Nothobranchius furzeri: one gene and its partners. Each later gene encodes a partner of the first gene's protein in a complex. Links are inferred from orthologs where the notes say so. Each region holds a gene or a part of one and is shown in the gene's direction. Other genes may lie near its edges. The genes, in order: dihydropyridine-sensitive L-type skeletal muscle calcium channel subunit alpha-1, cacnb1, cacnb2a, stac3 and cacnb3a.

The links.
Region 2: dihydropyridine-sensitive L-type skeletal muscle calcium channel subunit alpha-1 (region 1) and cacnb1 share a complex: the UniProt entries of both Homo sapiens proteins name them as parts of the calcium channel complex. The link is inferred for Nothobranchius furzeri from reciprocal best matches to the Homo sapiens genes CACNA1S and CACNB1.
Region 3: dihydropyridine-sensitive L-type skeletal muscle calcium channel subunit alpha-1 (region 1) and cacnb2a share a complex: the UniProt entries of both Homo sapiens proteins name them as parts of the calcium channel complex. The link is inferred for Nothobranchius furzeri from reciprocal best matches to the Homo sapiens genes CACNA1S and CACNB2.
Region 4: dihydropyridine-sensitive L-type skeletal muscle calcium channel subunit alpha-1 (region 1) and stac3 share a complex: the UniProt entries of both Homo sapiens proteins name them as parts of the calcium channel complex. The link is inferred for Nothobranchius furzeri from reciprocal best matches to the Homo sapiens genes CACNA1S and STAC3.
Region 5: dihydropyridine-sensitive L-type skeletal muscle calcium channel subunit alpha-1 (region 1) and cacnb3a share a complex: the UniProt entries of both Homo sapiens proteins name them as parts of the calcium channel complex. The link is inferred for Nothobranchius furzeri from reciprocal best matches to the Homo sapiens genes CACNA1S and CACNB3.

The regions. Positions count from the first base shown.
Region 1 is NC_091755.1:26,877,834-26,884,521, forward strand, and holds the start of dihydropyridine-sensitive L-type skeletal muscle calcium channel subunit alpha-1, read left to right. Parts: upstream 1-2,405; 5' UTR 2,406-2,630; coding exon 2,631-2,815; intron 2,816-4,903; coding exon 4,904-5,009; intron 5,010-6,688. Other genes in the region: proton-transporting V-type ATPase complex assembly regulator TMEM9, read left to right, coding at 176-284, 371-502, 597-737. UniProt on the Homo sapiens protein: Pore-forming, alpha-1S subunit of the voltage-gated calcium channel that gives rise to L-type calcium currents in skeletal muscle.
Region 2 is NC_091745.1:12,110,202-12,117,036, reverse strand, and holds the start of cacnb1 (voltage-dependent L-type calcium channel subunit beta-1), read left to right. Parts: upstream 1-2,435; 5' UTR 2,436-2,571; coding exon 2,572-2,658; intron 2,659-6,835. UniProt on the Homo sapiens protein: Regulatory subunit of L-type calcium channels. Regulates the activity of L-type calcium channels that contain CACNA1A as pore-forming subunit.
Region 3 is NC_091747.1:46,809,882-46,816,747, forward strand, and holds the start of cacnb2a (voltage-dependent L-type calcium channel subunit beta-2a), read left to right. Parts: upstream 1-2,430; 5' UTR 2,431-3,049; coding exon 3,050-3,133; intron 3,134-6,233; coding exon 6,234-6,326; intron 6,327-6,866. UniProt on the Homo sapiens protein: Beta subunit of voltage-dependent calcium channels which contributes to the function of the calcium channel by increasing peak calcium current. Plays a role in shifting voltage dependencies of activation and inactivation of the channel.
Region 4 is NC_091755.1:32,738,150-32,743,623, forward strand, and holds the end of stac3 (SH3 and cysteine-rich domain-containing protein 3), read left to right. Parts: intron 1-24; coding exon 25-85; intron 86-1,404; coding exon 1,405-1,502; intron 1,503-1,710; coding exon 1,711-1,780; intron 1,781-1,911; coding exon 1,912-1,961; intron 1,962-2,030; coding exon 2,031-2,113; intron 2,114-2,200; coding exon 2,201-2,252; intron 2,253-2,323; coding exon 2,324-2,461; intron 2,462-2,747; coding exon 2,748-2,855; 3' UTR 2,856-3,282; downstream 3,283-5,474. UniProt on the Homo sapiens protein: Required for normal excitation-contraction coupling in skeletal muscle and for normal muscle contraction in response to membrane depolarization. Required for normal Ca(2+) release from the sarcplasmic reticulum, which ultimately leads to muscle contraction.
Region 5 is NC_091755.1:54,935,481-54,942,126, reverse strand, and holds the start of cacnb3a (voltage-dependent L-type calcium channel subunit beta-3a), read left to right. Parts: upstream 1-2,412; 5' UTR 2,413-2,551; coding exon 2,552-2,632; intron 2,633-3,753; coding exon 3,754-3,846; intron 3,847-6,646. UniProt on the Homo sapiens protein: Regulatory subunit of the voltage-gated calcium channel that gives rise to L-type calcium currents. Increases CACNA1B peak calcium current and shifts the voltage dependencies of channel activation and inactivation.

The DNA.
Region 1 (6,688 bases):
TAATATGACGTAGATACTTGTGATGACTCCTTTAATAAGATAGAATCATTTTTAAATTTTGACCTCATTAATTGTTTTCTTGTTCCAAAGAGATATAATCCAGCCCGACTTTAATCTGTTTATATTCTATAACCGTGATGTGCCCAATGAACGTAACGTTTTCATGTATTTACAGTACGTGCCTCCATGTAGTGGAGCCCATGCCAGTTCCTGGTCATGATGTGGAAGCGTACTGTTTGTTATGTGAATGTAAATATGAGGAGCGGAGCAGCAACACCATTAAGGTACAGCTGACTGTCTCTGAGTTTGGTTGTTTCTGTTTTAGCCCAGTATCCTAAACGTTATTTGTTCTTTATGTTAAATGTTTCAGGTAACCATCATCATTTACCTGTCTGTTGTGGGTGCACTGCTCCTCTACATGCTGTTTCTGCTCCTGGTGGATCCACTGATCCGCAAGCACGACCCGTACACTCAGCCTCTGCACAACGAGGAAGACTCCGAGGTGACCAACCAAAGAAACGGCACATTTCGAGCATCTGGTACATTCCAGTTTTTACAAAGCTGTGGATTGAAACAGTTTTTATGTGTGTGTTTAGGAGATGCGTCCTCGTGCAGAAAGCGGGTCGGCCAGAGGAAACACAGTTCTGGAGCGAGTTGAAGGGGCACAGCAGCGCTGGAAGAAGCAGGTGCAGGAACAGCGCAAGACTGTTTTCGACCGGCACAAGTTGCTAAGTTAGAGCTCTGTTGAAGGCTTTAAGGGTTAAAGGATGCAACCTTCCCAGTTCTGTGCTGTCACACGGTCACCAGCTGAGTTATCACACACCTGGTTGTCACTGATCAGCACCGCTTTGACTGCATTGCTGTTTCCTCACTTTAAAACATTTCACATGTTCGTCTAATTCATTGTCTTATAATTTATAAGGTAACTACTGTAAGCTAAGCCAGCTGAGTGGAGCGTAAACATCTTTTGCACACGCCATTAGTACATTTTCTCAGTCGCTTCTAGGAATGTCAATGCTGCTGCTTCAGATTTAAATTATTTTAGGGTTGTCATCCTTTTTAAAATATTTGTAAATATATATAAAAAAGTGTTGCATGATTAAAGAAGAAGTTGTTTCTACAGATCAGCTTGCTCACAGGATTCTACAGATGTTAGTTTAGTTGTAATTTATTGTTTTTAAACTCAGACTTTTTCATTGTTTGCACTAAGGATCGTTATTTTTTGGGTAGGTTAAATTTCTGTTGCTTCTTTGAAACTGATTGTCCATTTTTCCAGCTCTTTGATGCAAAAATGTATTTTATCAAACCATCACAATCTGTGGTCTTTTGCATGAAATTCTGCATCTGAAGTTTCAGTTTTTACTCCTAATGGAGTTTATTTTTGTCTTTGTTTTGTTTCTTAATTTGATGTAAAATATTTAGAGTTACCGAAACCTTTTTAGATGAGGAAAAAATTCTACCGATGTGTCGCACGGCCGCTCTCAATCATTATAAGATCACATGATGGAATGTTTAATGGAAGAATAAAAATCTATTCCCCCAAGAGATGAAATAAAACAGAATCAGTTCCAGGATGTGGTCATGTTTAGTTTTATTTTCCTCAGGCTGCATATTTATCTTTAGCCTGACTCAACAAAGCTCAGGCTTGGGCTAAGTGTTTAAATAAATGTAAGAAAAAAAAACGTGTATTCATTCTTTCAGATGTTTGGAGACTTCATCTTTAGTACAAGCAATTATTTTATCTGCCACCAGGGGGCGACAGAGTACACCGCCATTAAAATAAACGCCACGATGACGTTACCACTAACATGTCAGAGAGCAGATGTCATCCAACGTGTGTGGTTTGCATAAAACTAATACAAGTAAAAATATTTTTATGTGAATTAATGAACATTTTTTGTTTCCCAGAATTATGTAGCTAATTAAATAAAGTAATTAATAAACATCCTTCCTACGTTATTAAAAGGAAGGAGGTCCCTTTTACTGTTTTGCTGCACCAAACGTGCATCATCTACTGATAATTACAGCATGAGAACATATTGAATGCTTATATTTAATAATTCATGTGTGCAAATGTATGCATGTGAAAGCCAGATTTATCATCAAAGTTTCTCATTTAACAAAATATCCTTCATGCAAACACTTCAATAAGTGTGGAATTCAAATCTTGCTCCCAGGAGAATATTTTCCAAAAGAGCCACATTGTTTACACTTTAGATTTGGTTTGCTGCTGCAGGATGATCCCCCTAATCCCCTTGTTTTTTCTGCTCTCTGCTGCCCCTCCTTCCACTCTGCCCTCTAAACCATCCCCAAGCATGGCCTGCCAGTGGTTCACAATCTAAATTTAAACTGCTGCAAGGCCAACTGCTCTCTTCTTCCAGCTTCCCTGAGCTTCTGTTATTTTTCTCTGCTGGGGTGAGCTTTTTTCTGTCAGAGGCCCTCAGCCAGGGGAGAGAGAGGGAGCCAGAGAAGAGGGCAGCAGGAGGAAGACCAACACAAGAGAGGCTGATCTGGAGCCCTGGGGGCGCCACTAAAGGAAGTTACATGCTGCATCAGAGAGTTTGGGATTTTACATCAAGAGGAAACGTATTTTCTGGAATTTAAAGTTTGTGTAAAGTGAAGGAATCAGGATGGCAGCCAACGCAGAGGGAAACAAGTCGTTCATCATGAACGAGGAGGAACTGAAGAGGAAGCAGAGGGAGAAGCTGAAGAAGCTGCAGGCCACGGGGGGCAATCCTCGCCCTGCCAGAACTCTCTTCCTCTTCTCACTAAAAAATCCTTTCCGCAAGGCGTGCACCAACATCGTGGAGTGGAAGTATCCTTTCAAAATCACACCTTTTACACTTTATTGGGACCCGTGGGTGAAAACAGCAGCTGTGATCAAACATTATTTAAATCTGATGTCATCAGAGAAGTGGTTTAAGTGTTCAAACACTTTTGATTCGTAGCAAAAATGTCATAAATAATAAGGAACATATGAAGATTGTAGAACAGAGAGAACATGATCAGATGTACTATGGAGCAAGGATTGGGACAAAATTTCATGTAACTTGTAACATGTTTTGTAACAGCACCTTTTGCTTTGTAGCATGTAAATAACGTTTTGCAACACATAGCTTTTATTTTGTAACACATAATTCTAATTTTATAACATTTAATCTTTGGTACGTAACATGAAACTTTCATTTTGTAACTTGTTAAAAAATCTATGTACAAGTTTCAAATAACTCAAAATAAAAAAACTAAAGGTTTACAGTTACAAAACTTAAATCTACGTGTTACAAAATATTTTGTCCCAATTCTAGTTTCCTTTCCCAAAAAACCAATAACAAGCCTTGTCTGACCAGCCAATCTTAGGTCTGGGGCACACCGGAGACAGATGCACCGCGCCGCCATTTTAAGTAGAAGCCATTATAGTTACTGAGAATTACTACACGGGGAGCGCAACGCCGAGGCACTGAAGATAGGCACCAGTTCTATTTCATGCGCTGTGGTGCTTCCGTGGCGTGGCTGTTTACAATATTGTGGAGTACTTTACAACAGATAAGACGCTGAACGGCTTTACGGCACAAAGCCAGCCACAGTTTTGATAACTTTAAAGTACTATTGATCTTAAAATATTCTAATAAATAGCGTACGTAGAGTCTGACAACACGACAAGTCTGAGCATGTAAAAACAAAAGAGTCACTTTCTCAAGTCCCGCATGATGTTGTGATTATTGACTTTCCGAGAAGCGCTCGGCGGCGCTTCCTGTGTGACAATTTGATTTCCCAAAACCGCTGCGCGGCGTGTCTGTCTTCAGTGTGCCCCAGGTTTTAGATTCCTGTCCAATCATGGCAAAAAGGGCAGAGGTCTGTTGTACGGCTCACAACCAAACTTACATTGTCACTCTTTAACAGTAGGTGGCAGTCATTTTTAGAGAAATTAAACTGATGTAAATAATGAACTTACATTTTCAATTAGAGCAGAATATCCGAGACACATGATTGACTGATAAGACAAAGCTTTTCATTGGTTCTTTGGGGAAGGAAGCTAGAATTGGGACAAAATGTTTTGTGACTGTAGACTGAGATGTGTGTTTTGAGAATTGTGATTTTCTTTTTCTGCAAGTAACAAAAAGAAGGTGTTCCAAGTTCAAACATGTTACAAGTCACAAAACTTGGTACAAGTTACACGTAATTTTGTCCCAGTCCTAGCTCCATAAAGCATAATTTTCCCACCATTTTAAATCAATCAGTTACACAAAATCTAAAAATAACCCTTTAAATAGGAAATCTTTATTAGATCTCAATCATTTCAAAACATTTCTCTTATTAAATCACCAAAAATTACAGTTTATTGTTTGTTGCCAAATGTGTTGCATTACCATGTTAATCATTATGGTCTGGATGCTGTAAAAGCAGCAACCATTCACGAACTGAGTAATAGAAACTGATCAGCTGCTCTAAATTTTTTCAGTAGAAATAGACGTGTGAATAAAACCAACATCTGCTAACATAACCAGGGATTTCTTTCCTCTGATGAGCCGTCCGTGTTTAAACGGTTTGTCATATTCTTGGGCCTCGCAGCTGTCCCGCAGCATCACACAGACATAATGCTGACCTGGCAGGGGAATTTTCTCAGAGAGCCCCCTATGGATGAGAATGGGGCAGCACAGCAGACAGGATTACAGGAGCTGCAGCAGCAACGCCGGCCGCCCGACGAGCTGCTTTAGGGATGGTGTTTCAGGCAGGATTTAAAGCCAGTGATCAGAGCTGCTGGTCTACTTTATGTTTGGTTAAAACGTGCAAAACACACCTTGTCTACATCAAAAACACTCACCCGTCCCTCTGTCAGCGTGTGTATGAGCTGGTTATTATCATATAGATTCTCCGCTTCATCATCCTTAACTCCCCCACCCAGAACATTTGAGATCATTATTTTATTGACCATCTTTGCTAACTGTATTGCTCTGGCTGTGTTCCTGCCCATGCCCGAAGAAGACAGCAACAACACCAACTCCAGATTGGTAGGCTGATGTACACATAGAAACGCTTTCATTTGTTTTCCAGTGGCTGGTTTTGTAGAAACATCCATCGTGAAGGTTTTGGCTTTGAACCTGCAGTGGCTAAGGGCTGCAGCTGCCCTTCAGCCCCATTTAAAGGCCTCTAAATACAACTCAGTTCTTTATTTGGAGTCCCATCTGTGTCTGCAGAGGGACAGCCAATGAACACGTGAATGGAAAAGTTCACTGCATTAATTTAAGATGTACTTGCTTTGTTTTCTGCCCTAAATCCTAAAGCACAACAAGGCAGTAGGTGGTTTAGTCTCTCATTTCAAAGACGTGTTTCTGCTGATGTGTGTCCAAAGAATTGTCTTTCAGCATCTTAGGTGTGTGTTTTCACTGCGACGGAGTGGTGGGTGGTGTGTTAAATGTCAGAAAATAAATCTGAGGTAAATCCTGCAAATAAAAACCTGCTTAGTCTCTGTGACACCCATTAGTTCAATTAGCAAAAGCAGTCTTAATGATAAAATATTGAATTGCTTTGGCCTTTTTGGACAGAATAAATGAAGAAGAAACAAAATCAGGAAAAAAATCCAAGACTTGTATGTTTAATAATTACATTTTAGACGACTTGGATTCAGATTTTGGTGTTTTTGATGACTTAAAGGAGTTATAACAACCTTGTGGTTTTTTTCATCTCAATGTGAGAGAATGCTGAGTTATTAGAGCATCAGAAATGTTTTAGAAATATTAAAAAATCCTTGAAATCCTTTCCAAATCAGATTATATTTTCATCAAAGCAAGTCAGTCCAGAAGCGGTTATAATCCCAGGATAGAAAGACTCGGCCTATTAAAGGACTAGAGGTTGTTGATGTAAACATGAGCATCACCACCAACAGAAAACTCTTTAAAACCAGCAGGACTAATAGATGAACCCAAGGCTAATATGGATTATTGTAAGATTTACACTCAAGATTATGAGATTTTGCTCTACGGTGTAACTTAGAGTGAAAATATAAAATTGTGGTCCAATCATCAGTATTACTGAAACCTGAAGTCAAGTTTTAATTCTGACCACAAAACAAACTTAGCAACTGACTGACAAATGCTTTAGCCAATCATCTGCTGCATATTTTAAAGCACTCGTCTCTTTCCAAGTTGCGTCTAATCAGGTTTTCCAGTTCGAAACTTTTCGAAACAGCAAATAAAATAAAGCACCAAACAATGAAGAAAAAAGCACGACAGAGGTTGTATCATGGTTTGTGGCTGCTTCACTCCAGAAACATTAAACAAGCTTGAACACAGATTAATGGAATGCGGCCACAGACGTCCAGTATTTATTATTTAAAATTGCACTTTGAGGTGGTTTTAGATAGTGAAATAAACTTTGACTTGACTCTATTGTTGATTAGACAAAGTCTTGTTCAGAGCCATTTTTGAGCACCTAACGATTAAATCTTATCAAGTGGTGAAGTTCCCTCACAGGAAACTAAACTAAACATATTCAGCAGATCCAAAGAAGCTGCTGAGAAAAAGATAAGTCATCAAAATCTCTACAAATTTCTTAAACGACTTCTGCCAAAGAGGGAAATCTGTCCCTGAAAAATTGTGTATTTTTGAGATTTGCACATTGCTAAACTCTACGAACCTTTGTGTCAGATTAACACACATTCAATTTACAGAGAAAAACATAAACTGTTTGA
Region 2 (6,835 bases), on another chromosome or scaffold:
TAGGCCGAGGATACCCTCGTCGGCTGAGTGAGCTGCGGTCAGAGCGTTGGCCGTTGAAATGATGAAACAGTGCTCCCATATGTAAAATCCTTCCTAGTTATAACTCTAGTTCAGCTCAGCATGATTTAGAAGACATCTTCAGGGTCACGGCTCCCAGAGCTGAATTAAATAAATGGACTACACTAGGCAGGCTGCATTTTTTGAGTGTGAACTTATTGTTTGTTATGCTATTTGAACATTAATAAAATTATTTGAAAAATAATTAATAAAACCAGCAACACTTACCAAGGAAACCATTTAGCATGCTCCACTCCGGGATAATCTTCAACCTTCCAGCATCACAGGGCCTCAGTCACAGCAGAAACACGTCTAAAGAAATGTTCCTTGGTTGAGCTTCGGTTTATGTCTCCAGATTTCCTCTGTGATGCAGAGAAATATCCAATATTTTGAGAGGGATGGTTTAGTGCAAAGTACTCACGCATCCTGTCATCAGTTTGGTACCACTGCAGGATCAGATGAAGCTTGTTAACACCCTTTCTGGGTCTAGAGGCTCCTGCTGCAAAACTACATTGGGCTCACTTCTGGCTGGCTGCTGTTCTTCCAGTTCGTCCTTCTGTGACGGCGTTAGCGCAACAGCGTCTTACGCCGCATTTCCCGCCACATCTTCGGGTCGTGTCTCCTCCGGGTCTGGCTCGGGCCCGGCCTTTGGCTCTGCTGACCTATCGCAGGTTCACAGCTGTCGGCCGGCTGCCCGAGCAGCTCGACAGAAACTTCTGTAAAGCTCCCCGCTGTCTCGTCTTTTGTTCCTCTTCATTTTTTTTCTTTTTACATTTTGACGCACCTGAAAGCATCGTGAAAGTTAGCCTACTCAAAAACTCCTGCTAGCTTTGTTGTGTCCCGCTCTGACTCTGACCGCTTCACCGACGCCCTTAATTAGGTGGCGCCCAAGTTGTAAGCTACAGTCATGGGCTGGCGTTAATGTGACGTAGCTAATGTAACGGTCTATGTTCAAGATAAACATTGTCACTATTTTTAGTTAATTAAAAAATATTGAAATAAACTGTAGATATGAGTCCTATCTACAAATTCTATCATAGGACATTTGTACATTTTATTTTTGATTTATTTATTTTTAATTTTGTCCCTCTGTCTGGGCCCCATCCAGCCAATCAGGCCCTAGGCACGTGCCTACTTTGCCTTTGCGTTAATCCGGCTCTGACGGCTCCACCATTATTTATGACTGTTCTTTGTGGCCAAACGGCAGGAAATGCCTTTTATGCTTATGTATGTATGTATATATACATATATATATATATATATATATATATATATATATATATATATATATATATATATATATATATATATTCTAGCTATTATTAGGAAAAGTGAATATACAGATTAGTACAGTTCTGCTCAGTTTAATGTGAAAGGAAACTAAATTAAAGTTCAGCATGAATTCTGTTACCTTAAAATATTTTACGCAATTATTGTTCTCAAACTGAATCATTTTTAAAAATTAAAAATGGGAAAACACAAAATTCATGAAAGGTAAAGCTGAAATGAATCTTTACACGTGTTTGTCTCTGGTGTGACGTCAACACTCCTACTCTGGGGTCAACCTTAGGTCACAAATGGAGCAGGGTCTCTGGGTAGTCTCACTCAGCCTCTTCAGACTCTGATCCAGGAGAAAACTAAGGACAGGCTGAGATGGTTCCTTCTGTTTTACAGGCAGCCCCGCGGGACTCTGGGGAGGTCTGAACACCTCCAGCCTGTCATGGAGCTCTGCTGCGGTCTCATCACTCATCACCGTAAAGGTGGGGTCTCTTCACTGGGGCGTGGACCTCGGCTTCCAGCTGGAGGCTGATGAGCGCACACAGGAACAGAGAGGGCGTCAAGAGGGATGAAAAACACAAGCACGGCAGTAGTTGGAGGATGTTGCCTTCAAAATAAAAGCACACTCTGCTTCTCAAGGTGCTTGTTTGGATCTGGATTTTCAGTCTCAAATGTCTCTTTGGGTAGCTCGTTATTAACATTCATTCACCCTCATTGTAATTCTGTCCATGATGCTGTGTAATAAGTTTTATTCGATTTCCACGTATTAAAGATTGATAAACATGGCAAAAAACAAACAAAAAAAACATGCAGGGCAACTGGGAACACTGTGGTTTGAATTTTGGTGTAGAATTTTCATCATTGTAATAATAATAATAATAATAATAATAATAATAATAATAATAATAATAATAATAATAATAATAATAATAATAATAATTATTATTATTATTATTATTATTATTATTATATTAAAAACTCTTATTCTGTAACCGGAAACGCTCTTGCGTCGGTGCGGAGCCCTCCCAGCCTGTCGGTACTTGGTGACAGTAGCTGAAGGCTGGAGGAAGGCAGCTGTTGCCATTATTTAACCAACCAGCTCAGAAACATCAGCGGCTTTTCCTCCTTCCCTAGACGAGAAATAAAAAGATAAAGTAAGTAAAATAAAAAAGATGCGACTATCAGCACCGTCATAAATTAACAAGACTGAAAGAGATTCCTCGAAACTGAAATCAAATGGTACAGAAAAGTAATAGTATGTCCAGGACGCCTTCGACCCCCAACCAGGAGATCCCCATGGGCATGATCGACCACCATCCACAGGTAAGAACCACAGAGACATGTCACCTATCGCCTCTTTTCACTGTTTACACGTTGATGATGCTCCATTCCGGAGATTAACAGGTTGTTCTTCGGTCTGCTGCTTGTGCGCGCGCGTTACAGCTGCGCTTTTATTTTCTAATAGAGAAATGGGGTTTGTTGTTTTATAGTCGATCATTTTGTACGTAGGAAACAGCAAGTCTGTTGGCGCTTTAAGCACAAATGAAACGCCTGTTGTCTAACACAAATTAACCGGAATGTACCACGTAGACGTCCAACGAGTTGTTGATCTGAGTAAATGATTAAAATCCTTTAGGCTACACATCTGATCGGCATGGTAAGCATTTAGGGAATTACTGTAATCTGCAACTGTTTAAAGATAATTAATGAGGATTCTTGTCTGTATGTTTTACTGAAGCATGCACTAAACTTAACTAGCCAAAATAAATAATAAACAGGAGGTGTATTAATAAAAATGTGAGTAATAATAATAATGATGAAGATAGTAAAAGAAACACTTAACTGAGAAAGTAAAACTGCTGAAAAAGTGGGCAAAATTTATATTAAAACTAATTTGGATATATATATATATATATATATATATATATATATATACACACACATATGTATATATATATGTATATATGTATATATATGTTATGTATATATACATATATATATATATATATATATATATATATATATATATATATATATATATATATATATATATATACACACATATATATATGTGTATATGTGGGCGACGGTGGCACAGGAGTTAAGTGCTCGCCCCGCAATCGGAAGGTTGCAGGTTTGAGCCCCGCTCAGTCTGTCGCTGTCATTGTGTCCTTGGGCAAGACACTTAACCCACCTTGCCTGCTGGTGGTGGTCGGAGAGACCGGTGGCGCCAGTGCTCGGCAGCCTCGCCTCTGTCAGTGCGCCCCAGGGCAGCTGTGGCTACATTGTAGCTCATCCCCACCAGTGTGTGAATGTGTGTGTGAATGGGTGAATGACTGATTGCGTTGGAAAGCGCCTTGGGGGGTTCCAGGACTCTAGAAGGCGCTATATCAAATACAGGCCATTTACCATTTACCATATATATATATATATATATATATATACGTGTGTATATATACATATATATATGTATATATATGTATATATATGTATATGTATATATATATATATATATGTATATATATGTATGTATATATATATATATACATATATATATATATATATATATATATATATATATATGTATATGTATATATACACACGTATATATATATATATATATATATATATATATATATATATATATATATATATATATATATATGTATGTATGTATGTATGTATATATTATAGCCCAGTTTGCCCATTAAAGTATACACCAAATCATCCTGTTTTTTCTATTTTTATTTGCCATGCTTTAATGACACTGGTCTGTTGAAAGGTTCATTGAAGCGCTGATGGTTTGGTTGTTAAACAGTGGGCATGTTTAGTCATGACTCTTTAAAGTGATGTTTTTTAAATTAAGATGAAAATATCTAGAACAAACACACCCACACTGAGATCAGTCATTGTGTCTCTAGAGAAGAAAAACCAGCTCATCACAGACAACCAGCGTTTTAAACCATGCCAAGTCCTGCTCTCTCCTCTTTACTCCCACTCTTCCCAGCTCCCTCTCATCCCTCAGCTTCTTCCACATCTTCTGTGAGTGTCCCGCTCACTCTCGCCATCTCACCTCTTCATGTCTGCTTTTAGAAATCAGATCTTTTATCAGCTGAGAGGGAGCAGTGAGAAACAGATGGACGACCTCCTGGTGCAGGCAGCGTGGCTTTCTGAGTGTTTTTATGTGTGTATGACACCTCCCATCAGTCACACAGCTCTCATGTTGACGTGCAAAAAGTTACACTGTTTTTATGCATTTATAACTACGACAAACAGAGAAAATAAAACTAGAACATCTGGAAAGAGATGATGTGAGAAATAGAAATGACTTGTGGGTGGAGAACTTGCTTGAATTCAGAACTGGGCGTGTCTCAGATTAAAGATCCTGTCTGCTGACCGCAATCAGATTGCAGGTGAATCTCTGAGCAGAATGACAGAGGATTCTCCTGTAAAAGCAGAAAAATTCCTTGTCAGTGTTTTACCACCTCATCATGCAGCCTCTTTAATTATGCACTTATCTGAGAGGATGTTTACCAACAGGAAGCCTCCACACCCTTTCTCCGCCCTTTCCTGACAGGAATCAGAGATCCTTCCTTAAGGCTGATTCATACTGACATTGCTCCAGCATGTCGGATCTGTTGGATCGCCATGATGTGGCGTCGTATGGGCGATCCAACAGTGTTGGGTCGTGTTGGAATGTCGGTTGGAGTCGAGCTCTATTTTCTAAACATCGGACAGCGGCGTTGTATGCATGGGCGTCTGTTATTGGTCAGCCAAACAACCCAACGTCATTTCCGGCACGACGTAGCTTACCTTAAAAAATGTAAACAGCACGAGTGTTTACACAGTCCTGAAGACTCGTTCTCGCTGTGCTCTTTCTAATAATAGTTGTTGTGTCACGCTGTGAGTTGGGGGAGGTTAGGACCCAAGATGCAGACACAGGATGACACAAGGCAGGAGTAGTGAAAACGTAAAAAATCCTTTATTTAGGGGTAAATTCAAAGGGCTGGAAGCCAAAAACCAAAAATCCAAAAAAACCAAGAGTCAAAACCCTGGGAACATCCAAAAACACAAGAGACCTAGAGAACGTCAAAATACCTAGAGAGGGGATGAGCAAACGCTGACACAAACAATGGACCAACAACCACACTGAAGGTTATATCAAGGGCTAGGTGAGTAGGGAATTGTGCACAGGTGAGACCAATAAACAAAGGAAGAGCACAACGAAGCAGGGGAGGAAACCAGACCTAAAAATGGGGAAGGGCGCAAAATGAACTAGAGGGAGAAAACAGACTAGATAAAACACTTAACAGAAGACTAATGATAAAAGGTGTCTAAGGAAAAACGTAAGGGAAACCTAGAGAGCCTGGAGGGGGTTGGGGAGACACCGGGACGCTGAAACCTGGGGGGAACACCTAAGGGGAAAAAACCTGGAGTGGTCTGGGGAACACAAGGAGGCACATGAGGAGGGATGCAGACAAGGAGACACATGAGGGAGACGCAGGACGCAGACCATAACATGTTGTTCTTCTAGCTCAAGCAGCTCCTGCTTCGCTCTGTGTCGCCCATCTTTTCGCGTCGCAAATAGTAAATACCGTAAATCCTCTAATATTAGCCTGTATTTAATTAACTGCTGGGTATCATATTTTGGTCGGAGTCGGCGGAGGTGAATAATGGCCGTGTTTTTATTGTGGCCGGGTGGAATGTGGAAACAAGCAAGTACGGGGGCGGCTGTGTTATCCGTTTCACTTTTGATTTGCCAGTGATAGACCGCGAGGGTAACTTTAACCGTGCGGAGACGAAGAGGAGGCGAAAATTTAATATCAAGTTCAAAGAGAACGTGCTGATTATGCTGCAGAACACTCTGGGGAGCAGTAGCAGGGGTTGTATGAACTAGTCACTAGTCGACTTCACCGCTCTATAGTGACTTTTTATGCCTGTCATCGACTAGTCGCTGTCACGTGATAATGACCGGCAAGATGCAGTCCACGGAAAAGACAGCAGCCTGCTGTCAGCAGGTGACAAGCTCCTGCGCGTCGGGAGGCAACGCGCTGTACCAGAGCGTCGGTACTGAGACCCGCCGTAAAACGGACATTTAACCAAATTGTGACGTTTACCCTCTTGCAATTTAACCTTCCCCTCACCCCCATCCTAACCTTAACCAGCTTGCGCATGCAATGCTCTGATTGTTGACGCGCTCCACACATCTGCGTCCTGAGCACGGCCACAGTAACATTATCAAATCAGGTGTCACCACCTCAAAAACTAATTTAACACGCGATCATTCATGTCGGCTCATTTCCTTTGATGTTTTCTGTCTTTTATTCTTTTACTTGTGTCTGATGCGTTTCGCTGCTGCGGACCGGGGCGCATCACCTGTTTTGTCCTCGGTGACGCACCGATCACTGATGTGGCCGGGAGCACTCCGCTGCTTTTGCGGTCGGTAGATCTTTTAGAACTGCAGTTCAAAGGTAACTCATGAGGTGAATATATATGAACC
Region 3 (6,866 bases), on another chromosome or scaffold:
TAAAAAAGCACCAGAATTACATATAGTACTTTCTAGAAGACTTTTTATGTTATTCTTGATGAAAACTTCAATGTAGGCCTACTTTAAGAGGCATTAGTAGCTATTTATAAGGCCACGTTTTTGAGAACTGATCTTATTTCCAAAGCATTGTTGTTCTGTGTTTTGTTGAGGTCTTACTGTGATCCAATATGAGGGCATTTCCACCCACCTGAGCTGCTTGTTCTCCTCATCTACCAACCTGGGTGACTAATGCTGGGTACTGTACAAGACAGAAACTCCGACCCACACAGTGCACGCGCTCTTTGGCTGTGGAAGTGGGCCTGCAGAAGGAGGCAGAAGAAGAGGCGAGAACGATGAACGCATCAGCACAATAAAACAAACTAAATCAACCTATTTAATTGGATTTGTGAAACTGACCATGTGAGTGGGCTTGAGAGGATTATTTAATCAGTTTGGTGTGATTGAAATCCGGTGCAGTCCACACGTTTGAACAAACAGCTGTCGAGCATCTACATTTGTGCTACAGGGATTAGTTTCATTGCACAGTGATTATGTTAATTTTCCCTTCTGCTCTTTGTCAAACTACAAAGTCAGTTTTATCAACAGCATTGCAGGATTATTTGTCACGTCTTAAAAAGCTGATACCATTTACTGCAACTTCCTGAGAAATGTTGAAACAATAGAAGGAAGTCCATCACATTTTCTCTTATTCTAGCGAATTTGCTGTTATTTTAGAAATACCAGCCCCATTGGCATTTCCAGGAAAGCACCAGACCACACTTGTTTGTGTGTAAATCTGCTCTTTGGCAGCATTAATGCCATTTTTTTTTTCTTTTACATGTGTGCATCTCTTCAAGGCAGCTGCTGTCAGGATGGAGGAAGGAAGGGCTTTCATCTGGGGCATGTTGATGTGTCCGCTGACTGCTCTGTCAAAATATGAGCTCAGCTTTGGGGGTCATCGAGGCAGCAGAAAAGAACAGGAAACATAAAAATATTTCCCGTTGGATCTAAGAGATGTCTATGCATGGCGATTCTTTTGCACCTGTTATCGTTGTCACACAAAACGACACTAGATCTATTGATTGTTTCCTATTGCAGATGTGCTCTTTTAAAGAGTCTGCAAATGTGTTTCTCTGCTGGTCTTTCTGCAGTGGTTTAATTTAGCTGCTGAAAACAACCACAAGCATCTGTGAGATGTTGAGACGAAACCGTGTTAGTCAGAGATGAACATTTAAAAATGATAAAACAAGAAATACGTGGATAATGTGGGGAAGAAAACTGCTAAACTGGGTATTGCACTTGCTATATACATTTAGTTTTTTTCTTTTTTATTGCATACATTTGAATAACTCTAAAATACAAACAGACTGATTTCTCACTGCCCTTTTTAGTTACATGCAAATTCACACACAGCCACCAGGGGGCAATGACGAACAGCAAAAAATATCAGCTAAACCAATTTCTGCATGTGTTTTATTTGTCAAACCAAGAAAAACAGCAAACATACTCTACTTACTTTGATGTAGGTTTGATGCAGCTGTATAGACAGGTTATAAATTAAAAGGGTCACACAGGTTATAGGCTAAAAACATAGACTCACGCTCTGATTCTTATAGGAATTTGTGAAATAATCTAAAATATTGCATTAATTGTCTGCAGAAACAGAAAAATACAAGAACAAATATTAGATATATTGTTCTTTGAACCGATAATTTACATGATCTAATTAAAGGGAAAACGCAACAGCAGCAGGTAGGAAAGCGCCGCTAACACTGGACGTAGAATCATAACCAAGGTGTTGTGGTCACATTTGTAACCTGTTAATTCAGTAGCAGCAGAAACACGATCAGTGAATCCTAAGGATGCATCGGTCCAGTCAGGTGAGCTGGAAGAGAGCAGGTGGAGGAATATAAATATCACACAACCACAAGAACCTTCAAAGTTTTAAAATTGTGCATGAGAATGGTTGCAGCTGGGTCGGATGGGTAAAGGTTGTGTGTGATATTTAAGAGAAAACATAATTTCTAACTGATGAAAGCAACAAGGATCACCAAGATTAGATTGTTTTCCCTTTTCTTTCACCTTGGAAGTGGATGAAGTTGTACAAAAACGTTTACACTAATAATAAGTTTATGCTTTTCAACTAATTTAACCACTGGTAGGTTCTTCAAGCAATCATTCTTGTTTATTAGATTTTATGCGATCCAGTTTACTCTTTAGGGCCAAATTCTTTTTCTTCTGAGTCCAGTTGCTGTATTTATTGTAGACAGGAGAAAAAGAAGTCTACGGTGACCTGAGTGACCCTACAGGTGAAACTAAAATGCAAAAGTCCATTTATGTCAGTAAGTCACCTTAGACTGAGACACCATCTAAAGGAACCATTTGCAGGTGTTTGGATATATTAGCTGATTAAAGTGTGACACTTAAAAGTGGGGTTTTCATGTTCTGTAATCCATAATAATCTAATTTATAACAAATCAATACTTAAAATATTTGTCTTTGCATGGAATGAGTCTACCTCATATATAAGTTTCACCTTTTAGGTTGTATCACTGACAAAGATGAAGTTTTGCATCATTTTCAAAATGTTTGAGTTTCATCTTAAATGCCTATTCTGAACAGGCCCCTCCCATTGATGGTGTACCACCTTAAGTACAAACTATCAAATAAACAAAGTCTTATCCTATATTTCCACTTGTCAGTTGGATGACTTGCACTTTTCCTTTTTTGTTCATCCTTCACCTGGACGCTGCAACTCATCCCATCCTTTGATCAGGTGAGGAGGCAGAGGAGTTGGAGAAGAGGAGCAGCGGGTCTCAGTCCGTGTGGGAAGGGCTGATCTGATGAGCAGGCTTTCAGATGCTGAAGGCTTTTCATTTGGAAAACAAACACCAAACATCTCGATGCCCGCTGGGTTGTAGCGGCGCCTTGTGTCCGTTTCCGTTCTCCTCGACGGCGTCACCATGAGTTTTGTTTTTTATTTCAGCCAGAACTCAGCTTCTTCCTCCAGCGAAGCGGTCCTGGTGAACGCGTTTGTTCGCGTTCCCTAATGGTCGTCAACAACAGTCCGACAACTAAAGCAGGAGCAGCTCCGGACCGACTCATGGAGAGCGCAGAACACCTGGTGTTACAGGTGAGTTCGTCTCAGTTTGGTTCAGTCACGGATGTTCATATTAACCGTGATTCTGTCCCAAAAAGTATTACTCATTCGTCTCGTAATTCAGGGGGGAAAAAACAACTATTATGACTTTTAATCCCAGAACTTTGACCTCCGAATTTAAGCGTTATAAGAATTCTGACTTTTGATATCAGAGTTATAACTTTGATGCCCAAATTCTGATTTTTAAGAGCAGAATTATGAGTTTAACGCCTGAAATTAGAGTCCGACTGATAGTTTTCCCATTGCTGATCCCAATTTGTAGGAGACATGGTCGGCCGATGGTCATGTGTGCTGCCGGTTTTTATGGGCCGATATCTAAATGTTTTTCACCTTTTTTAATGCAAAAATGTCACTAAAAACATCAGTTAAAGAAAGCACATTTTTACTCTGAATTTCACTAACTGTAAAATCTTAACTTTAAAGTTAAAGTCAGACATTTAAATAAAGGTGATTTAGAGTATTTATTATAGCGCCTTCCTAGGGTTCTACAACCCCCCAAGGCGCTTCACAACACAATCAGTCATTCACCCATCCACACACTGGTCAGCTACAATGTAGCCACTGCTGCCCTGGTGCTGCCGAGCATTGGCGCCACCGGTCCCTCTGACCACCACCAGCCAACAAGTCGGGTAAAGTGTCTTGCCCAAGGACACAACAGCAGCATTCTCTGGTGGAAACTGGGATTGAACAACCTTCTGATTACTGGGCAACTCGCTCAACCTACAGAGCTACTGCTGCCCAGATGTTATTAGTGAACATGAAATTACATTTAAATGAAATTCTGCAACAGTTGGACAATGTTTTATAGAGCAACAACAAATAAGGATTTAGGTAGAGAGATCTCAATCAAGTTTTTTTACTCCGATTCCAAGAAATTTGATTTAGAGCGTCTGCTGATACTGAGTCCTGATCCAATACTTTTCAGAAAAGCATTAAAATAAAATAAAGAAAGAAAAAGTTGTCCTTTACATTTCACTTTCACTTGTTTAGGAAGTTAATTGATTAAAAACATGTTAACATCATGAAATAAAAATTTAAACCAAACCATTTTTGTTCCGTTTGAATATCTCTTGTTTCAGGATGAAATTAGAAAGTTATATTTGTTGTTTTATAAGATATAATCTGATCTTTTTCACCCAATTCTAAACTTCTTAAAATCTCATGATCTGGCCCAATTTCCGATCACGTGATCAGATCGGACCATCCCTATATTTAGCGTTTTCTAGGCATTTTAGCACGTGAGTTAGGTCAATGTTTCTGTTTCATCAGGGGTGTGTTGTGACTCATTGGGGGATAACTTTAAAGAGACAATGTGTTTTTACCATTCATTTCTGGAAATATCCATCAAATTGTTGTTGAAAATGAATGAAATGATGCCCAGTTGTTGAAAAATATTGACGGCTTTGTAACATATAACCATAAAAATACTTGGGAGTGGGTCTATGTCTCTGGGCGACACCATATTAGATGCCATGCTTCCTTCTACAGGAGCCCATGAGGACAAAATGCATTTACTGATTTGTAACAAACGGTTACAAAACGTTTGTCCTTCTTAAATGTTGTTTTCAGTGATGAAAGGGAGTCTGATGCACTTGTTATTTTGCGAAAATTTGCACTCCCCAGGGCTTTTTGACCCTAACCCCGGGTTTCCACGGGAGCCGTCAGCAGCACGTTACTGCAGCAGCACGTCTTGCTCGCGTAAGCTGGTGCTTGGCCCTTCCCACGAGGCGCGAAGCAGCAGGGGAGCAGCTGTCACCTACAGAGCACGAAGTCACACGAGTGACTTCATCAGTAAACACAACAACAAGCAGGAGAAAACTACAACATGGTTTGTGTTTTATGTTCTGTCCGTTTTATAATCGCCAATACGGACCTGAAAAACAAAGGAGACCGCTAGCTAGGTGATAACTTCTCACGGGGACGCACAGTTAGTAACCTTTTTTAAAAGTAAAGCAACCGGAAGGCAGTACGTTCTTTATTCTGAAAATCTCTGTAGCTTCTCTCCATTTCCGCGTCCGATTTCCTGTCTTTCCTTCCCCAAAAATGTCGAACTTGACCCGTTTCAGAGGCGTCGCGCGTAGAAAATAGAACCGGCGCGTAAAGGCCGCGACATGCTGCTCCTGAGACGCGGCCGACTCGCGCTGCTGACGGCTGCCGACGGCTCCAGTGGAAAAGGTTCTGTTGACCACAGCGGTTCCTATCAGCAGCTATGACGTGCTGCTGCAGTAACGTGCTGCTGACGGCTCCCGTGGAAAGCCGGGGTAATGGGCATCCGTTGGTGAGGTCTTACTCCAACACAAAAATACTGCTTGTTTGCAACGATTTAGGTATCTACAGCCCCCTATCACCAGGAAAAACGCACACTGTCACTTCGACAGATATTATTTTATACACTTCTCCATGTAATGCATTTTTATTTTCTTGTCTGATTTTGATTACCTTCATTAAAATTTATATTTTGAATAACAAACAGCTAATTCAACAGATTAATTTGGCCAAACGATGTGTTCGTAGCAAAAAAATCATAGTTTTCACAGACTGTTTGAGCTTTGTAATGAGTATTTGCAATATGTGCATTTAGCATTAAATGTGTGTATTTGTTTATGTCTGGCTCCATTATAACAATGATTGACATGACCAGCCTTTGTTTTGTATTCATGTTTAACACGTCCTGGGGCTTTGGGCTGGAATAAAATACCAACATGTATTTCTACTTTACAGTTGCTATTGACAACAAATGCTGGATGAGTTCTTGTATATTAGGCATCTCATTTTATGGCAAAGTAGACCACCCACATAATTACTATGACCAGGCGATACCAGAATTATTTAACATTGATTATGAAACCCTTAACTACTGAAATAACCATGAGATTGATGTTTGGTAAATTACTCCTACATCCTATCAGAATAAAGAACATTTATGTTTTGCAAAGTAGGATTTTTAAGTTCAGTCTGAAAAATAATAGCACTTCCCACATAGAAGAAGCAACTTTAAAAGCTAGAATGAAGACAAGCTTGTCAAAAACGCTGCAGTTAAGTTTTTTTCTGTTCTTTATTTTTTGTTCTGAAGTCTCAAAGCAAAGGAAACCAGAGGAAAAGTCGCTTTAAAGGTTCTGATGGCAGCACGTCCTCCGATACCACAACCAACAGCCTTGTTCACCAGGTAAGGCAGACAAAAGTTTAACTTAAACCTTATTTCATGTTTTCATTTAGAATAAGGTGGGGACTTGTGTTTAATATTCTTCCATCCCAGGGGCAATGTTTATTGGCCTCAAGCAAGAAGGCAAAAGGCAGGTGGTGATGTTTTTCTTGTGTTTGCATGAGACCCGACCATTGTTTTCTTGTGCATTTTTTATTTATCTTAGTTGTTTAAGTTTAGTAGGACATCATAAGTATAATAACAAAACTTTGTCTTTGTACAGGAAGTAGTTTTTGGAAAAAAGGATATCCCCATATGGGGACAAGTGGTTTATTTTTGCATTTAAAAATGTTTTTTTATTATTTGAGACTGAAAGGTGTCAATTAGTCTAATATCCAAATTTCAGCATTTTGTTAGAAGTACTTTTCTCAAAAATGTGTGTCCACATATGAGGACAATAGGTCTATCCAAACTGTATGACCCACAAAGACACAGTTGGTTAAAAATTTATAAACCAGTTTATTTTGACCATAGAGCATTAGGAAATCGAACAGTATTGCTAAC
Region 4 (5,474 bases), about 5.9 Mb from region 1:
TCTTTTTTTTTCTTTGTCTTGTAGCCACCTGGCTTTAGAAGAGCCTATAGTTCTCCTCTGTACAGCAGCGACATCCCAGATCCAAGTGAGTCCATCAAACCTTCAATCACTCCTAGAATTAGTAATCCTTTATTTATTACTGCTAAATCAGAGTAAAATAATTAAATTTTACGGTGAATTCTTTTAAGCAGATGTGTAAAATTAGTAGGGAGGTCGGAAATATCGACATCAACATCATATCGGCTGATGTTTGTTTTTTATCTGTGTATCGGTCCAATAAGTAAAACTTGGCTGATACTTTCTTCCATCTAGTTGCTATTGTTGTATCTTGGAGAGAGATGGTCATGCAGTGAATTTTTAATCATGTCAATCAGTCAATCAATCAATCATTGAGAGCAATCTACAATTTATAATGGTTAGAAGTGCCCAATGTTGAAAAATCTTCCTTACAAAGGTGTAATTATATTTTAGGGATGTCCGTTACTAACAGCTAATGTTGGCATTTAAGGTGCATTATGTAGAAATGAAGTAAATATGACAATCTGTGGTAAAATCTGGTTGCTGCAATCACTTTAAACAACTCTGGAGCTTTTTGCCGGCCGTAGTCAAATTACAACTATCGGCGCTGCAGTATTAGCTCGCAGGAGACACAACAACCCCACACTTGTCATGTTCTGCGGGTGGTGGGTTTCAGGAGGCAGATGAGCAGGCAACGGATGAAAAAATTAAAAGATGTTTAATCGTAGACTGGGAGCAACAGGACGAACGAACATGCACAAACGACAATGAACCGACAAAGACAGCAACAAGGAGGGAGGTATAAATACACAAGGGAATCAGGAACACATGGGCAGAGTAATGAGGGACAGGTGAGAACAATAAGGCTAATCAGGGCAGGAGAGACACAGTCAGGGAGGCCGGGGCGGATCATGACAACACTCACTGGTAGTAAACACTAGTTACGTCCATCTTTCCTTTGTTTTGAAATGAGATGAACTGACAATCCTCACAGCCAGCTGGATATGAAATGTGTTTAAATATAACCTTCCTTCTAAAATGACCAACACTTTTTGGATTTTCTCACTGTAGATTTTTCACTATATTTTTACATAGTGCACCTTTAAAATGTAATATCAGAAATAATGAGTTGATTTTCACTCTTTTAATGACACAACTTTTACATGCCATGTACATATTAAACATCAAATTCTTCAGCATGGTCTAATAATAGCCATTTAATATTAGCCCATTTTTTGTATCAGTGCATCCCTAAAAATTTGAGATAAAAAAATCTAATGTTTGTAATGCCTGGACTATAGCATTTTCTACAGATTATTCATTAAATAAAGCTTTATAATTGAAAGTGCTGATATTTTCTGGCCAAAATTTTCCATCCGACACCAGACAACCCAAACCGAAACGACCCAGTCTTTGACACACTGAGAGTTGGTGTCATCATGGCGAACAAGGAGCGCAAAAAGAATGAAAATGACAAGAAAAATGTGAGTATTTACGATGAGTTTCATCAATAAAAACACAATAAAACACATTTCAGAAACACATCATTGTGTAAAACAAACCCAACAAAGGTATGAAAGCACACATTTGAAAAATAATTGATTAAAGCAGATGCACTGCTCAAAATGACTTTAGGTAACTTCAGAATATTGTCAATAAATCACAACATTTATTCACTTATATGTGCTTTAGATGATGATGATGATGGAAGAGGAAGAGGAGGAGAACCAGCAGCCCAAAGAGAGTGAGGAAGCAGGAGAAGGTAAGAAAATGTACCTTGGTAAATTACACAATAATTGCTATTAGGCATAAATCTATGAAATTAGTTTTCTGCAAAGAAAAATGATGGCTGTTAATAAGTTTCACGAACGGACTTGGTGACTGTTCGCACAGGAAAACCCGAGGATAAGAAAGAAAAAGGAGGAGACAAAGCAGACGAGAAGGTCAAAGCAAACATTTCATAAGGATGCATTTTGTTTAAAATCTCCATAATCTGTCATTTTTGTCAACAGAGTAAGGGAACATTTACCGGGTCCCACTACTACCTGGCTCTCTACCGCTTCAAGGCAATCGAGAAAGACGATCTTGACTTCCAGTAGGATTAAAGGATAGAAATGACATCATAAAACAAAGCCTTTGTCTTGAATGTGTCTCAAACAAACATGATGTGTCTGTTTATTAGCCCTGGTGATCGGATCATAGTGCTGGATGACTCCAATGAAGAGTGGTGGAGGGTGAGTTACGGAAACACGCTGATTCCATACGTGTCCCGGCAGAAGATTAACTCAAACTGTCGGATTATCAGGGAAAGATGGGGGAGAAGACGGGCTACTTCCCTGCCAACTACCTCATAAAAGTACGAGCATCAGAGAGAGTCTACAAGGTGACCCGCTCCTTTGTTGGCAACAGAGAAATGGGACAAATTACGCTCAAGAAAGATCAGGTGACCTTCTAAATATACTCAACAACACACGTCGAATCAGTTTTGTTGGATTTGTTTTGCTTTTAAATGACAAGTTGGGTGAAGAATGTACCACTAAACTTATTTCTGTATTTTGTTGAAGACATCCAATGAAATGACTTTAATGAACCCAATCAAGGCTAAAAAATGCTAATAAAATTGTCTAAATGCTAAAATTCTCCATATGAGGCAACAAAATGCATCTTCCACTTACAGATGTTTGAAATCAACACTGGTGTCATGCTGCTCTGCTGTCACTCTCTTCCAGATTGTGGTGAAAAAAGGTGATGAGAAAGGAGGATATTTGAAGGTCAGCACAGGACGCAAGCTGGGCTACTTTCCTGCTGATCTGCTTGAGGAGATAACTGTGACATAAACACCTAAATATGCAACAACATAAATGGCTGAAACACATTTTAAGTGGTCAGACACCTGGACACACCTGGTCAAAAGATTCATGTTTGTTACCTAAAAATTATAAGTTACCTGTTGTGTTTTTGCTGTGAAATTAATTTTTTGCCTTTGACACACAGGGTGATGATTTTTAATAGTTTTATTAATATTTTAAATAAAATTGTAACGTTGTAATAGAATTTATTCATTCACAATCTGGAGCTGCTCCGACATTCACGAAGCATCTTTTCTTACAACAATCAAGGTTTGATGTTTAAAGACATTTCATGTGGAGTGGATGAACAACAAGGATTAAAATTGTGTTTTGCAAAAGTAAAAGAAATTGAAATTGTCTGTTTTGCAGAAAATAGTAAAAAAATAAAAAAGAACTGGCAAGTCTGCAAAAATGACACTAAATGTAATGATTTCTTTTGCTGGATAACATTATTTGTATTTTTGTGACTTTGTCCCATTAGAGTTTATTTATTCATGAGTGGATTGAACACTGATGTTGAAATCAAATTTAATTAAAAACTGTCTTAATAAAACCGTACAGCTGAAGACAGCCTTCTAAAAAAGAATCTTATTAGACTTAATTAGAAACAGATGTTAGATGCAAAAGCTGCCTTATTTTGAAATAGTATATAAACCTGGAAAATGCACAAAAGACAGAATAACTTTTTTTTCCTTTAAAATAATTGAACTAAAAACTAAAACGTTTAATGTGTAAAAGTAATAAATGCTATGGTGTTTGTAATTTAACCCTAAACTGCTACTGAAGGTAAACATTTATTTTTCTTGGTATTTCACAGTTAGAAACCAGCTAATCGATACTGCCACCCAGTGGCGGTTCTACATCGAATTACTCCCCGGGCGAGGCCCCCTTTGAGCCCCCCCCCAACCGCCCCACCACCACCACCCCACCTGCACGAACACACGCATGTTTTCTACAAACAGGCATGTTTATTAGAGCGACTATTGAACATTCATTTTTCTAAGTTGCACATATTTACATTAATTACTATGAAGTTGTCAGAATGTAAAGCACTATACATTATATACTGTATTAAAATATATAGAATCAAATATACAAAAACAAACAATAACTAAATATTAAGAATATATGAACATAATAGATAATAAATATTCTAAATAGCAAAAATATTTCACACATAACAAACTAAAGATAATCACTACAGCATTGCACTTAGAACAGAAAACACAAACTAAAATTAAAACCTAACCTTGATGCAACGTCATCAATAATGTCATCACATGAAATCTGCTCCCCTACTGAGTGATTGATACTAATCAGAGCCAGGTTAGTGAGCCGCCCCTGAAACATAGCTGACCTCAGGTATGACTTGATCAAGTTTTGAAAAGCTCCGCTCAGCTTGAGCCACAGTGACTGGCAGAGCAGTCCAAAAGTTGGGGTAGATCTCCAATAGATCTCATGATCCATAATATTTTAGAATTGCCTCTGAAATTGTAATTTAAACTGTCATAAAAATAACTGTAGACTACCAAAAATGCCAACTTTTACAGAACAAATCATGTAAAATAATCAGTGCAGCCATCTGCAATAAATAAACAGGATAGTTAGTGGTGACTGGGGTGTTTTCTTCTGCTTGTAGAGTTGTTTTATTTATTATTATGTGAACATGATCAACATGTGTTTGTTGTTTTTCAGGCAGGCCACAGGCTGCAGTGAGCATTTAACAAATCCTAGTTTGAATCAGTAAAAAACGATTCAAGGACTTTTTTCGAACCATTTGAATATTTGTTTCAATATTTCAGCCCTATTAGCTCTGTTAGCAATTAGTTGACCACATTTAACCGTTAAAATCCCAGTTAACTGGTTCAAAAAATTGAAAACATGCATCATGAGAGCTACATACCTTTATCTTTCTCCTCTTTTTTCTTTTTTTTCCCCCTGAATGGGGCACCTGGTGGTTTTAGCCTTTTTATGTTCATCTCTTCTGTTTGGCTCCTGACTCAGTAAGTTTCCTTTAGTCAGGACTAAACTATTTGACCTTGATGGGGGTGTGACCACAAAATCGTTTTGTTTTTCCTTTTTTTATTCGGCCATTTCACACAATTCAGAGTAACCTGAAAGAATGATAGGCCTGTGTTTATGATATTATGAATGAAATATGGAAGAACGTTAAGATGTGATTAACTTTAGCCATGTTAATACAGTTGATTCAGCCCCTGCACGCTCATTTCATTTGGGAAAGACGCAGAGGAGAATTCCCCCGCCGCACCCCTCCCCTTCCTGTTCTTCATAGACACACGGTGCATGTGAACGTTCTCAGTCAGCATGAGCGCCTGCAGCTGCAGGGGGCGCCAACTTGCTGTTTCCAATCCAGACTCTGTCAGATAATAGAAAACCTCGGTGCGGCGCAGATTTCCTTTTTTTTTTTTTTACTCAGCGCTTGTGCGCCCCTTTTGTGTCATGAAAAAATGCCGCCCCGGGCAACTGCCCTGTCTGCCCGTGCCTAAAACCGCTACTGCTGCCACCTACTGGACCATTAGAATATAAAACACACATAAAATGAATAAAAATCATGATGTTTTGTTTTGTTTAACTTGATGTTCTTTT
Region 5 (6,646 bases), about 28 Mb from region 1:
GTCCACAATTCCACGACCAGGATGAAAACCATATTGCTCATCCGACCGACCAGACCCTTCTCTCCAGTACTTTAGAGCAGACATTTCCAGTGAGACTGAGAAGTGTGATCCCCCTATGGTTGGAACACACCCTCTGGCCACCCTTCGTAAAAATGGGGATCACCACCCCAGTCTGCCACTCCACAAGAACTGCAGAGACTATGACAGTCCTACAACATCCAAAGTCATGTGATACCCAGGCCGAATCTCATCCACCCCTGGGGCTCCACTGCTGTGTAGTTGTTTGACTACCTCAGTAACTTCTGCACCAGAGATTGCCCACGTGAGCGTTGAAGTCCCCCAGCAGGACAGTGGAGTCCCCAGTCGGAGCACCATCTAACACTCATCCCAGGGACTCCAAAAAGGGTAGGCACTCTGAACTGCTATTTGGTGCATAAGCACAAACAACAGTCAGGACCCGTTCCCCCACCCAAAGGAGCAGGGAAGCTACCCTCTCATCCCCAGGGGTAAATCCCAACATACAGGCAGTGAGTCTTGGGGCTAATAAAAATCCCACCCCAGCCCTCCGCCTCTCACCTGGATCAACTCTAGCAAAGAAGAGAGTCCAACCCCTCTCAAGGACTCGGGTTTCAGAGCAGATAGCTATGTGTCAAGGTGAGTCCAATTATATCTAGCCGGTACTGCTCAACCTCATCCACAAGCTCCAGCTCCTTTCCCGCCAGAGAGGTCACATTCCATGTCCCAATAGCCAGTTTTCTTGTCTGGGGATCAGACCGCCAAATCTCCTGCCTGGGTCTGCCACCCTATCTACTATGCACCAGACACTTCATGTGCCTCCTGCAGGTGATGGGTCCACAGTTGGATGAGCCCATGTTTGCAGTTCGGGCTGGCCCGGCCGGTCCCCATGGCCAAAAGCCCGACCACCAGGAACTCGCCCATGGGCCCCAACCCCAATCCTGGCTCCAGGGTGGGACCCCGGTAACCCTCCGAGTCGGGTACTCAAACTCTCTGATGTAGTGTTCATGAAAGGTCTTCAGAACCACTTTTCGTCTCACCCTTGCCCTAGGACCAGTTTGCCATGGGAGACCCTACCAAACAACAAAGCTCCTAGGATCATTAGGACACTCAAACTCCTCCACCATGATAAGAAGGATTAACATTATCATTATTATTATTATCATTATTGTTGTTGTTGTTGGTAGCTGCTGCAAGCAGGGGCCCTTATGGAGGATTTGTTCTCTTTATTATTATTCTTCCTCTCCATTTGCTTAAAATTAGCATAAATATAAATTACGCACATTATTAATTAATAACATGGCAGGGCCTCTCAAGAGTTATGTTTAACTTATACACTATCTTGTGGCAGGTCCCTTTTTAAAATTTCTTCAGGATTTTCTAGGCATTCTTCTTCTTCTTCTTCTCCTTCTTCTTCTTCCTATTATTATTAATATTATATTATTGTTATTGTTATTATTATTATTATTATTATTATTATTATTATTATGTGTATTTTTCAATTTTATTTTGTTGTTTTTTATCCTTATCTTTAGGTGGGCAAATGTTCAAAATTGAAACGTATAATCAGAATATTTCATTCATCATTTATTATTTCAAGACAAATAATTACCCAGCTTCAATAAGCACACACACAGAGGGAGAGAGAGAGAGAGAGAGAGAGAGAGAGAGAGAGAGAGAGAGAGAGAGAGAGAGAGAGATTTAAATAAGTAAATATTTTTGTTGTAAACAGGAAAAAAACATTCATATTTTTGGATTTCACAATGACGGTGAAATAAGTAAAAGAAAACCAAATGCAATTATAACAACCAGAATCAGAGTAGAAATGTGGTTCTGGTTCATATGTTTTATGTCTAAGTGAACATTTAATTTAATCACTTGTAATATGTACTTTTTATTTCATTTATAGCCACACTCTGTCAGTATGACATTTATATTTTTAACTGGATGGAAACAGGAAATCAGTCCCTTAACTTTCGACGGTAGGGATTTTTCTGCCATCTGGTGGACATAAGCGGTTACTACAAACATTCATTAAGTTAAATAAGACATAACTCATCAGTACTTCCTGTCATAATTTTCAAAATAAAACATCACACTTAAAATGACTACTGCTTTTAATCAGCGTTGACAGCATAGTTATAATTAAATAACAGAAACGCCTTCAATTATTCAAACTACGCAAGTCAAATTATACAAACTACGTAAGTCGTGAACTCATTCCTTCTATTTTACTGCTCTGTGCTTGTGTGCTAAGCAGGAGCCATCAGCATGCAGGAGGCAGTGGGATACACTATTCGGTGTGTGAACATTATCTAGCTCCAGCCACCCGTGGGTCCTCCTCTCACGATTCATTTCCTCCTTTTTATCCGAAACCGTTCTCTCGTCTTTACTCTACTCGCTCTGGATATTATTCCCGCTCCCCCACACCTGTTTTCAGTTGGACTGCATGCATTTATGTGCTTGTTTCCCGTTCTCGCTCCTTCCAGGAACGCATGTCCGTGTTCCTCCCGCCGCCTCCCTGCGCTGTCGATAGATGATGCAAGTCAAAATGTCCAAATCTTCCGTAGACCCTTTGTCTGCTGTGGAAACGGGCTCCCAGTCGCATTACTTTCAGGTAAATCCGCTCACTTTTCTCCCAACGCTTCCCCGACCGGCTGAAGTCTTTAGAAACGACTAGCTGACATCTCTAACGCTACTTGTTGTGGGGGACACGTACTTCTCCTCTCCCCCCTTTGTAACCTCAGTGAAACCGCAGCTTGTGAGCCCGCACGGCAGGCTCCAACATGTCACACCCGCAGAGAAACAGGCTGACACCTCCGCAGATCTCCCCAAATCTGCCCATTCGGTCCCGACTCTCAGATCGGGCCTGTGGCAGTGATGCTTTATTATTTATTTCAGCATGATTTCCTGCCTCGTCTCGTCTACATCAACGCAGAGAAGCAGGCAGCAGCACGGACGGACGGACGGCTTTTTCCCTCGGTGTTAAAACGACAAACCTGCTGTAGCCTTATGTCTGTGGTTGCGGCTCACCTGTTGGGGCCTGGAATCAGCGAGGTGCTTCTGTGTAGCTCAAACCATGCTGCAGAGCTCAGATGTGTGTTATTTGTGCAAATCTATCTTTTTATAGACCGATTACAAGAAGTACTTGTTCCAGAGAGTGTCAGTTGTTATATATATATAATTTGTTAGTATTTTTGCTATTAGACAGGAAATTGGAGGAGTGCAATGCTCTTTTTAGACTCTACTGTGTATAACTAAGGACTAAAACCGAACTTCTTTTATTAATTCTGGTAAATTTAGAAATCTGAGCTTTTAACTTTTATTGGGGTGCCAGCTTGCACCAGTCACCTTTGAAAAAGAGATTATGATCTCAAAAGATTTCCTGAATAAATGAAATGAATATGGATTTGGCTGCATAGATGTAGTGGAGTTCCATATTGGTTATTTAACGTATTCAAAAGGGAGGTCTGCTCTATTTTAGGTAAACTTGACATTTACAAGACTTTGGGGTAAAACAGTGCCCATACGCTCAGGTCTATTTCAGCTGGTTAAAATTACAAACGCTACTCACAAATAAAACAATTAGGAGCTGCAGCAATTGCACAGATGCTAAAGCAGTAAATCCCACCACAGCCCAGTTTTTAATTAACGTTTTCAGGTCAGACTTGTGAGCAGAACAGAACGTCCTCTTCTTTGACTTTTTCCTTTCAACATCTGCATGTCTTTTCCACACAGCTGCCCAGGAAGTTGCCTAAACGTAAAAGCCGCTTCAAACGCTCTGACGGCAGCACATCATCTGACACCACATCCAGCTTCATCAAGCGGCAGGTAAGCGCTCCTCTTTGTTCAATGCTAGTTGCTGCCAGCGACACACGGATGGTAAACCTTAGTGGGAGGAATAACGTTTCTATAGAAAATGTAGGTCATGCTGTGTGAGAGTGGGACCAAGCACTTCATCAGAACATGTTTTCCTTTGGTGTTTTGTCATAGCATTTTGCAGAACTTGTAGTTTTACAAAAATGAGTCACCAAACATGTCTCTGATCTGATCATTCCTGTTCTTCCTCATCACTGCACAGCATTGCTTCCTGTGTTGCAGGAGTTGTTTTACCCAGTAGAGGACAGCAAAATGCTGTAAAGCAGCAATATGTTACATCCCATCACAGCCCAGTTTTAATGAATGTTTTCAGGTCAGACATGTGGGAGACTTGTGAAGATTTTGTGTTATTTAAGAGAATTTCTGAGACTGAAAATATAACAAAACCTTCCATTCTGGTGGTTTTAATGGCTGCTAATTATAACATTACCTCATTTAAAATGACAATGTGTAGTTTTTACCATTAGTCTCTGGAAATATCCATCAAAATGTTGTTGAAAATGAATTTATTGATGCCCAATTTAAACATACTCACCTTCCCCCCCTCCACTTATCTGGGTCGCGGGGGCAGCATCCCAAGTACGGCCTCCCAGGCTAATCCTCTCCCCAGCCACGTCTGCCAGCTCCTCAGCTGGGACACCCAGACATTCCCTGGCCAACCTAGAGATGCATTTCCTCCAGGTAGTCCTGGGTCAACCCGGGGGCCTCCTGCCAGCAGGGCATGCCCAAAACACCTCCTGAGAGAGGCGTCCAGGAGGCATCCTGACCAGATGCTCAAACCACCTAAACTGGCTCCTTTCGATGCGGAGGAGCATTGGCTGTACTCCGAGTCCCTCCTGGATGTCCGAGTCCCTCACTCTATCTCTAAGGCTGAACCTGGCCACCCAGCGAAGAAAACTCATTTTGGCTGCTTGTACCCGCGATCTTGTTCTTTCGATCATCACCCAAAGCTCATGATCATAGGTGAGGATTGGGACGTAGATCAACTAGTAAATTGAGATCCTTGCTTTCTAGCTCAGTTCCCTCTTCACCACGACAGATCAGTTTAGCGCCCGTATCACTGCAGATGCTGCCCCAATCCGCCTGTCGATCTCCCGCTCGCTCCTTCCCTCACTCGTGAACCAGACCCCGAGATACTCAAACTCCTCCATTTGACGGAGGACCTCTCTCCCGACCGGGAGTTGGCAAACCACCCTTTTCCGATTGAGAACCATGGTCTCAGACTTGGAGGTGCTGATCCTCATCCCAGCCGCTTCACACTTGGCTGTGAACTTCCCCAGCGAGAGCTGAAAGTCGGAGCATGATGAAGCTAGGAGGACCACATCATCCGCAAAAAGGATTGATGAGATTCTCCTGCCACCAAACTCGACACCCTCTGCACCACGGCTGCACCCAGAAATCCTGTCTATAAAGATTGTGAACAGGACTGGTGACAAAGGGCAGCCCTAGCGAAGTCAAACCCTCACTGGGAACAGGTCCCACTTACTGCCGGCTATGCGGACCAAACTCACACTCCTCTGGTACAGGGACTGAATGGCCCATAACAAAAGACCATCCACCCCTCACTCCTTAGTGCCCCCCCACAGGGGGCCTCTGGGGACACGGTCATGAGCCTTTTCCAAATCCACAAAACACATGTGGATTGGTTGGACAAACTTCCATGACCCCTCCATCACCCTAGCAAGGATAAAGAGCTGGTCCATAGTTCCATGGCCAGGATGTAACATATAAGCATAAAAATCAAGTCTAAAATAAATGGGAGTGGGTCTATTTAAGGTATTTCTCAATGTCAAGGCGCTTTGCTTACGAGGACACTGTCCTTCCTTGTTGAAAGAAAATCATTAAATAGAACAGACTTACCTCATTTGACCACGGCTGCCCAGTGGCGTGCCCTTGTCCCTGGTGAACCGATCATTATACTGCAACGGATGCAAATAAATGCCCCCATCTGCACACGTTTTGCTGTAAAATGAAAACAAAGTAAAATATAAAAAATACATTTACTGATTTGTAACAAACGATTAGAAAACTTTCACCATTCATAAACGTTTTACACATTTACTTCTTCAGTCGTTGCCAGTGATGAAAGGGAGTCTGGCGTGTGTGTCATTTAGCTGGAGGTTGGGCTCCAGGGATGTTTGACCCTAATGGCCATCCATTGGTAAATTCTTACTTGAACACAAAAACATTGCTTGCTTGTAGGTATGTACTGCCCCCTATTGCCAGGGAAAATGTACATAATCACTTTAAACCTACTGATTTAATAGGAATATATTTTATAACAGTGCACTGGTTGTTTGTTTCTTTAGAGAAACCGTTCATTTGATTCAAGTGTCGGTGTAAAGCCCAGCTGATTTGTGGTTTTGGGCTTCCTAAAGGGGAGAGCCGATTCTCGTCAAACCGGGTTGTGAGGAGTCTGTGAAGGTTTCACTGAGCTACAGAAGGACCGTGCATACAAAGATAACCCAAAATCACTAGATCTCTGAGATTCACATCAGAACAGGACAGGATCTGGGAAGGATTCATATGTTCCCTTAAAAATGGCACGTTGTTGTGTGGCCCGTTTCTGCAAAAGAAAGAGATAAAATGGCATCCCAACCTGTCCCAGACCCCTCAGTGGAACCAAGGCTTTAGTTTCGGGTTCTCCCCTCACCTGTCCAGTCTCTGGTCTTTTCAAATTAAGAGGCTTGTTATTTCTGGAATGACCTGGAATTATCAAAATGAAAGCTTTAGAGTTAGCACAAAAGTTAGA